Daphnia pulex: one gene and its partner. Each later gene encodes a partner of the first gene's protein in a complex. Links are inferred from orthologs where the notes say so. Each region holds a gene or a part of one and is shown on either strand. Other genes may lie near its edges.

Evidence for each region. The genes of interacting proteins can lie anywhere in the genome.
Region 2: DNA polymerase epsilon subunit 3-like (region 1) and DNA polymerase epsilon subunit 2-like share a complex: the UniProt entries of both Homo sapiens proteins name them as parts of the DNA polymerase epsilon complex. The link is inferred for Daphnia pulex from reciprocal best matches to the Homo sapiens genes POLE3 and POLE2.

The regions. Positions count from the first base shown.
Region 1 is NC_060025.1:6,578,428-6,583,751, reverse strand, and holds DNA polymerase epsilon subunit 3-like, read left to right. Parts: upstream 1-2,432; 5' UTR 2,433-2,580; intron 2,581-2,781; exon of another isoform or gene 2,782-2,804; 5' UTR 2,805-2,815; coding exon 2,816-3,001; intron 3,002-3,072; coding exon 3,073-3,157; intron 3,158-3,215; coding exon 3,216-3,412; 3' UTR 3,413-3,489; downstream 3,490-5,324. Other genes in the region: E3 ubiquitin-protein ligase LRSAM1-like, read right to left, coding at 3,646-3,765, 3,835-4,143, 4,222-4,465, 4,534-4,618, 4,681-4,957, 5,027-5,128, 5,200-5,229. UniProt on the Homo sapiens protein: Accessory component of the DNA polymerase epsilon complex. Participates in DNA repair and in chromosomal DNA replication.
Region 2 is NC_060027.1:5,847,629-5,853,738, reverse strand, and holds DNA polymerase epsilon subunit 2-like, read left to right. Parts: upstream 1-2,579; 5' UTR 2,580-2,711; intron 2,712-2,816; 5' UTR 2,817-2,824; coding exon 2,825-2,889; intron 2,890-3,129; coding exon 3,130-3,280; intron 3,281-3,339; coding exon 3,340-3,536; intron 3,537-3,599; coding exon 3,600-3,813; intron 3,814-3,908; coding exon 3,909-4,030; intron 4,031-4,091; coding exon 4,092-4,233; intron 4,234-4,295; coding exon 4,296-4,531; intron 4,532-4,647; coding exon 4,648-4,828; intron 4,829-4,887; coding exon 4,888-5,064; intron 5,065-5,136; coding exon 5,137-5,223; 3' UTR 5,224-5,292; downstream 5,293-6,110. Other genes in the region: egl nine homolog 1-like, read right to left, coding at 5,756-6,001, 6,067-6,110. UniProt on the Homo sapiens protein: Accessory component of the DNA polymerase epsilon complex. Participates in DNA repair and in chromosomal DNA replication.

The sequences.
Region 1 (5,324 bases):
CTGCTGGCCCGGCCGGTGTATAATATTGTAGTAGTATAGTACCTTTGTGTGCAGTTATAACGTCGAGGAACGATAGAATATTCTCCGTGATGAAAAAGGGGGAAAAAGTAAAATAGAGTGTAGCTAGAAGAAATGAGTCTATCTGGTTATGTATGTTACAAGAGCACAGAGCGATAGTAATATACATTCACGCACGCTATCCTATGTAAGAAATGAAATGAGTCTAACAGGATCTTTTGATTTCCTACACGCCCGTTACGCACACGTCCCGCAGCGACGGTGCTCTGATGACTGAACTGACTTCCAGTTCATCAAAGGTTGGAGGAAACCTGGCTGCTCCACCCCCTAAAGGCACTCACTGGCTGCTCCTCTTTGCTGGCTGTGTGCTGTAGCTAGCTGGATATCGCGTGCACACAGCATCCGAGGCACACCAACAGCAGCTCTCATGAACCAGCAGAGCGAGAGAGCATGTACCATACTACTATACCAGACGTGAAAGGATATATGGGCGGCAGACAGAGAGAGGGAGGATGTATGTAGTGGGGTGTGGTGACGGGAGAGCAAGAGCTCCATATACCTTTCGAGGACCGCGCAGCAGCAGCAGCTGAAAGAGATACTTACATAATAAGTAAGCAGATCGAAATCATAACTCCCGATAACTCCGCGTCGTTATAGATCCCGTCTAGCGTCTACAAACAAGGCATGGCTAAATATATATACGCGTATACAGCACACAACCAATTTCGACCAATTTCGACTTTTCGCTTGGTTTGTATTGCAGACGTAATCACCCGCTCTTATTGCTAATTCCTGCGGGATCCGGATCCCATCCATTCCACTTTTCGAAAATAAAACATGAAAGCGAAAAACATGCGGGGGAAATAAACTAACAAGGCGCGAAGCAATTGATTATCTTATTCGTCGCCAAGTGCTCACAGACAGTTCACACGGCCGATCTCTAACAAAATGTGTTAACGGGAAAGCGCATGTCAAACTTTTTGACAAGAAAGTCTGTCACGCGTGTCAAGGATGAGAAATTAAAAAACAAAAAACAAAACTCCCGTGTTAAATCCTGATGGGATGATTGCTGGTGTACGCCCACGCGGATAAAAATATACAGGATAAAAAATGATGCGATTGATGTCTTTGAAAAATTTTGAGATCGGAAAAATTATATATGAAATTAACGATGATTAAAGACAGTTTGATTACCTAGTCTATTTAAAAAAAAAGATGAACCATTATTTTAGTAGAGATTTGTTTCTTAAATTGTTGTTATTTATTTATAGAGAAACTTGGGAGTAAGCAAAACTTGTTCATTTATCCGTCTCATTCAAAAGAGCGTCAGACTTATTTCTTCAACTTTTTGTTTTTCCATCCACGTCTGATTTACAGTTTCCGATGTGGGCGGATGTAGGTCTGAAGGGGCCAATGGTAGACAGCGACACAGCGTATATCAGTTTTGTATCCGTTGCCTGGAGTCGGAGTGGATGAGTAGTATCCCGGGGCATATCCTGCCTTTTCTCTGATTCCCGACTCTCACACTTTGTGTAGGATTTGAAAATATATCTTTGGATCAAACTTGTCTTGAATTCCATGACCTGATTTGTAGGCGACTGGGGATGGTAGGAGGTTTCCGAGAAACGAATTTTATAAGTGAAAGTTAGAGTCGCAAATCAATAATCTAACTTCTCGTAATTTCGGCGTTTGGCAATCTATTATTCCCTATAGGCTATATACGGGTGTATAGCAAGCGATTATCCATTCAAAAGTTTTCAGGTACACACAACAGTCATTCCCTTGTAAGATTAGCATCGATGGAAATCTAACTTTTGGCTGCTAAAGGAAGTTTGGGTCCCTTTGACTCGGAGATGTAGAGTGGCTTGGCGAAAAGGAGGAAAGTTTGTTATCCTATTACACATGCCGCTCTTGACACTATCTAACGACAAGTCTAACGATCTTTTGCCGTCTTTTGCGTACGTCATATTTGGTGATCTCCATCCATTCCGTCAAAATCGTTATTGAATCTAATAAGAACAGAAGTGATCACGATTGTTAAAATTTTCATGTCGATTTGTTTTAACATCCAAGTGTTGTTCAAGATACAATAAATAATACTAGTAAAACAAAATCGGTTCAAGTTAGAATAACCAATCTAAGCTGCTGAAGCAACAATGTACTGTAAATACTAAATATTGGTGTAATAAAATTGATATTTCACTAGTTTGATATTTAACCTATATCTTGTCTGTTCATATATTAAGATCTGCTTATCTTCTTCGTGCTACATAAAAAAAATTATTATTTATCTTTATCATACGCCTCTTTATTATGCGACTCGCGACTGCTGGTCTAACGGGGGCGAAAAACTTATTTGTGCAAACGGTTAGAATATTACTCACAGATGGCGATGTGGTCTTGGCACTTCTTATTTTCCCGCCCTTTATTGTAGCAGAAGCAACATCGAAATCATCAACTGTGACTGTGTATTTGTTTCAGCAAAAATCTGAAGTTTTCAAGTGTCGGAGTGTTGGTTTCGGTATAATCGGAAATAAATTATTGTAGGAGAAGTTTTGACAGGTAGGATGTTTTCTTTTTCCTATGAAAATCTTGTAACAAGTGTAGTTAATTTTTTAAAAAGTTTCTAGAAATCTCTTGGAAATGACTAAATGGTGTTATTATTTGAAATAATAAGTGACATTTTCTCTCTTTATTGATTTGAATAGAATTCATATGATGAAATATATGTTTTGTTCAACTAATGTATCTAGCTGATGACAGGAATTTTGTTTTGATTTTCCCAGGTACGTAAGCAATGGCAGAACGACCTGAAGACTTAAACCTTCCCAACTCAATAGTAGCAAGAATCATAAAAGAATCCTTGCCAGAAGGTGTTAATGTGTCTAAAGAGGCTAGAACCGCCATTGCTAAAGCTGCTTCTGTATTTGTTCTCTATTGCACATCATGCTCTAACAATCTGGCTATGAAAGCTAACAGAAAGGTGAATCACAGAATCAGAAAATTTTGTTCCATTCTCTCAATTATTTACTAAAATTTTTTTGTTAAATAAAGATCATCAGTGGCCCGGATGTCCTGGGAGCAATGGCTGACATGGAATTTGAAAGATTTATTGAACCACTACAGGCTTCTCTTGAAGGTAATTTCTCTTTTTCAAAACAATTTTTAGAATGTCAACATGTTCTTTTCTTTTACAGTGTACAAGAAAGCACAGAAGGAACGCAAAGAAGCTATGGCTAAACGGAAACAGGAAAAATCCGACAAAAAACCGGAAGATATTGAAGAAGGATCAGATGAAGGTGGAGAAAATGATAATGGAAATGATAATGAAAATGACAATGAAAATGATAATGAAAATGAAAAGGAGAATGAGGATGAAGAAGTGGATGAATGATCTTAAATGACAAAAAAATGTGTGATAAAATTTGTATTCGCACGACAAAAAAATTAATAAAAGAAAAAAAAACACGACCTCAAATAGTTTGTATACTGTGAAAATTAAAGTGTGATTTACGTCTCGAAACGACAGTAGCAACAGACAAGATAAAAATGAAGAAAACATTTTTTTTAGGATGCCAAAGGCACAAAGATATGACCGATGAAAAGCTAAAAAGCAAATAAATAACATTATGAGTGAACCTGCAGTCGTTTAACGATGGTTGCCCGGCACATTGGGCATTGATTTAGCTTGTTGCCACATCCAGAACAACAACATAAGTGTCCACAAGAAAGGAATATAACTTGGCACTGTTTAATATAAATGCAATTAGAATGAATTCGTTTTGAAAAATTGAACTGTAATAAATGTAAGCTTACTGAACTGTCCAAGCATATGACGCAATTAGTTTCCATAAAAACTTCCATCGGAGGAGCGGATGCCACCTCCTCATCATCGAGTACAGAGGAAGGCGCACTTGGAAGATACTGTTGTGCATGTTGAATATTATCAGGCATGTTATCGATTAGACGCTGATACTGGACAAGCCAATAGTCGGCCGCTTGGTTCTGTCGCTGGACTTCCATTTCTTCCAAGAGGTGTTTTAGATCTTTACGACGCAGCTGCTGTTGCTCTATTAACTGGGAAAGCAAGTCAGCCAGTTGTATACGATTTTCCGAGAGCAAGTTCTAGGATCGATAAGAAAAAAAAAAGGAATTAATAAATGACCAAATTAAAGTCATACGTATTTCAGACTTTGCACTCACGTTAGTAATATCGATTTGCCTGCTTTTGCGCTGTAATTCCCAAGCGGTAAGCTGATTAAGTTTATCTACTACGGCTCGAATATCTTCGCTAAGCTGGGTGGTCCGCCGATCACGCTGGGATAACAATGACGAAAACGCTTGGTACTGCCAAGATTCTTCTTCTAATAACGACATGACTAGAGCAGCTTGGTCTTTTTGCCGATGCTGCAAAATTTGGTCAATCTGACGATTTTTTACTTCATCCCTAAAAATTAACCATAAAAATCTTTTAATACCAACAAAATTGTGTTCGATAATAATGCTTAGGCTTACTCCATTTGCACCACATTGAATAGGGTTTTATTCAACATTGTTTTCTGACTGGATATGTCTTGTTCAAGCTGGGTTTTCATAGCATCTGTTCAAGAAGTGACCGGATTTTTACAAGTTATAACATTTCAACTTGTGATAATGATTTACTCAAAATATCTTCTTTTCTAAGATTCTTGAATTCTTCTAACTTGAGGGCCAGTAGGCAATGACATTGATTTTCTTCTGCTTTTACTAGATCCTGAAGTTGTATCTGATCTCTGTGGGCCTGGATATTTTTTAATACATAAACAATACTGGCTTCCATTTCAGCTTCAGTTTTATAAAGCTGTTCTGAAAACTTTTGCCTTGATGCTTCCTGTTGCTGATGAATCTCTGCAAGTCGACTTTCAACTTCTTTTTGGCTTTCAGTAATATGCTTCAGAAACTGTAATAATAAAAATTGAAATCACAACAAAAAAACAAAATAAATTTAAATTATTTACGGAAATTTAACCTTGTTATGATTTGCTTGAGAGAAATTTTTAAGTTGGGCTTCTTCTGCCAACCGTTTTGCCTGTTGTTCTTCAAAAGCCAGTAATTCCGTTCTTCTTCTTTCCTACTAACATAAATTTACAACTTATTGTCTAGAATAAAGATTTAAAAAACAGATAACATTTCATGTCAGACCTTCTGCTGTGCTAGAGCTGCCAGACTTTGCTAAAAACAATTAAAAGCAGTTAGTTATAATATTATAACAAATAAAAGGTTTTCGCCAAATTATTAAGATATATAAGGAATCCAACTCTTATTTT
Region 2 (6,110 bases), on another chromosome or scaffold:
ATGTGAAACTTAGGTCAACTAAATAGTTCATAGATATTTAGAACAATAAGAATAAGTAATAAAAAGCTATATGCTTATTTGATTCCGATAACTCTTTTTTTCCTAACAAAAACTCTTAATTTCTCGAGGTGATCCAGGAAACTCTGGCCACGGAAATGTTTTGGCACTGCTATGGCCTCCAATATATGTGCCAATGGACAATTCCTCATTTTGAGTGAAAGTTACAAGTATGTAAACCACAGCACTGTTAAAAAGGGTATCATTTAGTTGTGGTTGACAACCACCGAAAATAGGTGAATGTACGAAATTGTGAATCTTTTCGCCAATTTCGGGGTTTTACGCACCAATCTAATATTTTTCAAATTTAGTGCAAATATTTGGGGCAAATAACCCCGAACTTTTTGGGCATGGCCGGAAATTTTGGGAGTGCATACTTGGGTCATAGATTTTAGTTATTAGCAAGGCAATCCCGCCGGAAACCGGCAGAGACATGTTGACGAAGTTCGGTTTTTCTCTAAACAAGCGTAGGGTCAATCCACGCCGATCCGTCAGATCATGGGCGTGGGTAAGTCACCAATTTGTTTGTTTTTTTTTATTTGAATAGTGGATTCATATCTTTATGAAACACTTATTTCCAAAAATTCAGTGTTTTTGGACCAAATTGCGAGATATCGCAAAATAAAAATCGTTTTTTTTTTCATTTTGCCATAGAGGATTTTTACCGGTGTTTTTTTAATTTGTTTATTTTTTGTCCCTATCATTTCATTTTATAAGAAATATACAAGTTTTTAACCAATTTTTCACTAGCTTTCGTTTGGTTCTATTTATTTTAATAAAAAATCATTTCGAAGTATAGTAATTGAACTTTAAAGTGCATAAAAGCTTCATTGTTCAAAAATCGAAAGCAAAAATCTGCTACTTTCGGAGAGTAGGGGAGAGGGGGCTAGTACGCAGGTGGGGTAAGTTGGCATTTTGCTATTTAGACCCCTTACAGACCAAAACAAATCAAGCCTTTTACACCAAATATGAAAGACAACACCCAGATTGCTCCTACAACATTTCAAAAGTATAAGACTTCCCCAACAGGAGTTATAGCAAAAAGAAAGAAAAAAACGGCAAAAAGTTTTTTTTTTGCCTCTCAGCACTTTTTATTTTTCTAATAGTATAAAACTCTAAGAGTGCCAGAAAACCCAAGCAAAAAATAATTAATGTTTGTCTTATTTTTAAAAGAAACCCGACATTTCTACATTAAAAAGTTATTTCGTTATCAATTTATTTGTTCGAAAAGCACCCTGTGGGGTTAGTTGTCAGTAATTTTGAGGGGCATGTTGGCATACAGATTTCTCACGAGATGCTGAGTTGCAAGTTTTCAAAATTCGACCTAGAAATTTTGGAGCAATGGAGAATCGTCAGCTGCCAACTTACCCGTAGGTGGGGCAAGTTGGCAGACTTTTTTTGCAATTTTTCTCAATTTCACAATTTCTTTTACATTTAATTTATCGCATTATGATACTTTCGTGTGTACACGAAAGTTAATCGCAAATAAATCATTAGTGATATGCGTGCAAACATGGAGCTAGATCAAACGCGAAATATTTGACTTAATTATTTTTCGTGTTGCGAGCCGCCTAAAACAGCGGACGGGCGACGCTTAAATAGTGGACGTATCCGCGATAAGCGCTAAATAACGGACTGGCGAGCGCTAGTCGTCCGACCAGTCACAGCAATCGTTTTTTCTTGTCGCGCCCCTTAATTAAATTTAGTGTGATGCGCGTTAAGTAGCGTAAATTATTTACTTTAGCGGTTTCGTTTTTCGTAAATAATATTATGAAATGAATTGCCAAATTTAGCGTATCGTGCGCCCATATCCTCCGTTCGTAGTACGTTTCATTACATTTTCAATAGTAGTAGGAGCCGAGCTAGAACATCCCCACTTCTTCCAAGATGATAGTGATAGCGCTCCCGTTCCCTAGCTATAAGGGGGCGAGTGAATGAACAATTTATCAAGGTGGCTGCTTTTTTAACAGCTAAAATTCGAGATTAAATTTTAAATTTAAAAATGGAATTGGTAGAATTATTTATTAATTTTTCCCGTCGTCACGTTTGTGGTTCTTTTCCTCGTGTATTTTCGTTAAATTGGTTTGATTCTTGTTTGATATGAATTTTATCGATTTATAAATGTTTAGTTCATGATTGATAAGTATGTCATCGATTCAATTATGTTTAATCAATTAATAGAGGAAGTGACTGTCGCGAATCCCCCCCTCCCTGTTTTGTGAACACACTTTTTTTTTCACAAAACAGAGGGGGTACGCGTCAGTCACTTCTTCTATACGAATAACATGGTTGATTTCTTGATAAAAACGTGTGAATTGGTAGGTTTAATAGGGGAAAGAATTATAGATTTGCCGTATGAAAGCAAAGACGACAACCCATACCAGCCGGTACACGGCAACTTCATTTAAATTCCGGTTTGCATCTTATTTAACAGCCAAGGTCCGGTTTTCGAGCAACAGAACGATTATTTGAACTTTGTCACTAGATGGGTCTGGACATCGGACTCAATTTGACGCTTTAACTAGTCCTGATTCCAATAGGCGCGGCCTTTATTTATGGGGTTGTTCTTGACTTCTGGCAAAGCAGAACAAAACAGATTCGGCGGGAAACATATCAACTGTGACGATTAACACCGGACACGGTGAAATTACTAGGTACGTAGAACGGTAAAACAATAAAACATGAATAGATCAAAATATTACAGAAGTTATATTAATTGATCTTTGCTGTCCCTTTGAACTGGCCATTCTATTTCTCAGTTCTGAAAATGAATAGTCGATTTAAAAACGATATAGTTATGACCTTCAAACTGAACGGCCTGACAGTTAGATCGTGAGTAAATGTTATTTTTTAGTTTGTTGTTAAGAATACGAATTACTGTTACTGATGCTACATATTTGAAAAGATTAACCTAAAAGGCTCAATCAGTTAGTAGTTCTGAAATAGAAAAGCAAAAAGAACAGCTTAGCTAGCTTAAAAGTAAACAAAACAGTGTTAAATCTGCAATTTTTATTAAACTTCTATTTCAGTTATTTAGCTTACAGTTTACCATTTTGTTTTGTGTTATTTCAGGGAAGCTACCAAATATATTATTGGTTTGCTTACACCCTTACACAAAGATGAGCAAGTTCAATGGCTTGAGAAGTTGATTGATGTGATACAAAAACAAGGTCTGTTGAACAGCACAACTGTTGAAAAATCTCATGTTGAAAGAGCTGCTAAGGTATAATCTCTTGATTTTAAATAAATATTTGTTTTGCTTATTTTTATTTAATCCAACAGGAGTGTTGCCAAAATGAGTTTGATGAAACAACAGTTTTATTAAATGTAATATCTGCTTTTGATGTTCCCAAATTTGTCTACAACACTGAAAGAAAGAAGTACCTTTCTTTTGATGCACCTCATTCCATAAACTTGTTTGGTGATCCAAGAGATAAGTCTGAAATGTTTCGCCATCGATATGCCATTCTCCATCAAAGGTTGTAATTAATTATATTGAAACCATCCACTTAATAATAGTCACAAACTCTTTGTCATTCCAGGACTTCTCGTCATAGTCTTTTCACTCCATCTGTGTTAGGGTCAGGTTCAACTGCTTCTCAAAATAAATATCAACTGCAACCAATTGAATATTTGCTGGGAATGTCAACTAAACTTACCAATCTTGTGGTACTTGGAATGTTAACTTATTTAACAGAGGGCAAACTGCATTTAGAAGACATGACTGGATCTGTGCCTATCTCATTGAAAGATACTGTAACTATTGTTATTTATTTTTTTCTGTGAATGCATATTTGATATTCACAAAAAAATGTTTTTCCAATTGAAATATGAAATCCTCTATTCTTTAGAATTTCCATGGTGGACTCTTTACTGAAAACTGCTTTGTTCTGGGACAAGGCTATTTCCAAGATGGAGTATTTCACATTGAACATTTGGGGATGCCTCCACCTGAACCAGCTAAAATCACTAGGTACGTGCAGTTTAAAGTAAAAATCCTCACAGTATTAATATTCATTAATTCAACATTACAGAACTTATTTTGGAAACACAAACTTTTTTGGTGGTTCAAGTACATCAACTTTAAAAGTTTCTGTCAAACTAAAAGCGATAGAAGAACAAAATCCGGATGCTATGATGGTTTTTCTTTCTGATGTGTGGCTGGATCAAACTAGAGTATATAATTTTAGACAAGTCTAATTAACTTTAAAAATGACAACAGTTTTTTGTTTAAATAGGTTATGGAGAAGTTACGAATACTTTTCGCTGGGTACTGTGAAGATCCACCAATATGCTTTGTGTTAATGGGCAATTTTCTATCGGGCACTACGTGCAACACTTCTTCTGGTCACTTGCGCCAGTTATTTAAATCGCTCGCTGAAATGATAAAAGAATTTCCTAATCTCGTTGAGCAAACGCGCTTTATTTTTGTTCCGGGGCCATCTGATTCAGGATTTTGTAATATATTGCCCAGGTTAAAATTTATTTTAAATTGTAGTTATTTGTATTTTCAGATTTTTTCATTTACTGTTGCTGAAGATATTTACTTGTTATTTTTCGGTTTCGAAGTAATTTTAACTTTTCTTTTAGGCCTCCTCTTGCGGAAGTGATCCGGGCAGAATTTGTGCAAAGAATTCCAAGTGGTATATTTACTACCAATCCTTGTCGAATTCAATATGGAACAAAAGAAATTGTAGTTCTGCGCGAAGATATTTTGACTAAAATGTGTCGCAATGCTATTAATTTCCCTTCTGATGATATTCCCCAACAGGTATGACAAGGTTTTTGCTAGTTTAAACTACAAGTTACTAAATTTTCCTGTTTTTCTAGTTTGCGAAAACGTTGACATCGCAGGGACACTTGTGTCCTCTTCCTGGGGAGATCTGCCCTGTCTATTGGCCATACGATCATGCACTGTATCTGTATCCCTTACCTGATGTGGTGGTTGTTGGTGATCGTCTTGGTGGTTTCACAGCTCAAAATATGGATTGCGTCATTTTTAACCCAGTAAGATATTTGGTTTAGGAAAATTCAAAGTATTATGGATATTCTATAGATAGCTAACTGTAATATTAATAGGGACCATTTTCCCGCAACAACTTCAATTTCAAAGTGTACATCCCAATACGGTCCCAAGTGGAAGACAGTGAAATCGGTGATACTTAAATAAATATGCATTGCCTGAAATTCAAATGCTACGGATTTTTTCAAATAAAAATAGAAGGATATCTTTTACTTACGTCTCCCGATAATTTATTTACTTTTACCACACTCTTCCTTTATTCAAACAAATCATCATAATAAATTTAAAGTAAGCAAAATTGTAAACATACAGCCATAGTAATAATGAGGTTTATGTAGGACTGCAAAGAAATTCAACTGATGATTGTAATATTGGAACCAAGTAAATAATTCACCTTTACAATGTAATTGACGACCAAAACGAATAATTCTAGATTTTTTTTTATTAAGTTTAAAAACAAGGGCTTAATATGTAAGGGGGGAAAATGGCTGTACACGAGCCTCGCACCTCCGTATAGTGACAAGGAGAATCCATTTAACATGACGTTAAACCAGATTTCATCGTTTATGTTGACGTATATACTCTTGATCAAGGCGGCAAATCATTGCAAGCAATTTCATTCATTCACTTGGTTTCATTTTTTCTTACAGCGCCTTAAAAGTAATGCAACATGAATCACTGGGAAACGGTGGATGATATGGATAACTTACATTCCCGATTAAATCGTATTCTGGCTTCTTCTCTTTCTTTTGCATCAAAATACCAGACAGTTATGGCATATCGGGTTCGAAAGGCTGGTTGGACTTCGTGAGGATTGCGACGGTCTGACCAGAAGAAAACCATCCGATCAAGGATTGGTTCTATGTCCACTACTTGGTTAGCCCAACCTTGGGGGAAAATTCGCAGCAAACCACCAGTAGTCTGCAAAACAATTATTTAAAAATAAAAATTGCTGTTCTCAATTGCAACGTCAAAAAATGTATTACCTTCGCGTCCCAATCCTTGTTGCAATAGTAAGTTGTAGTAATAC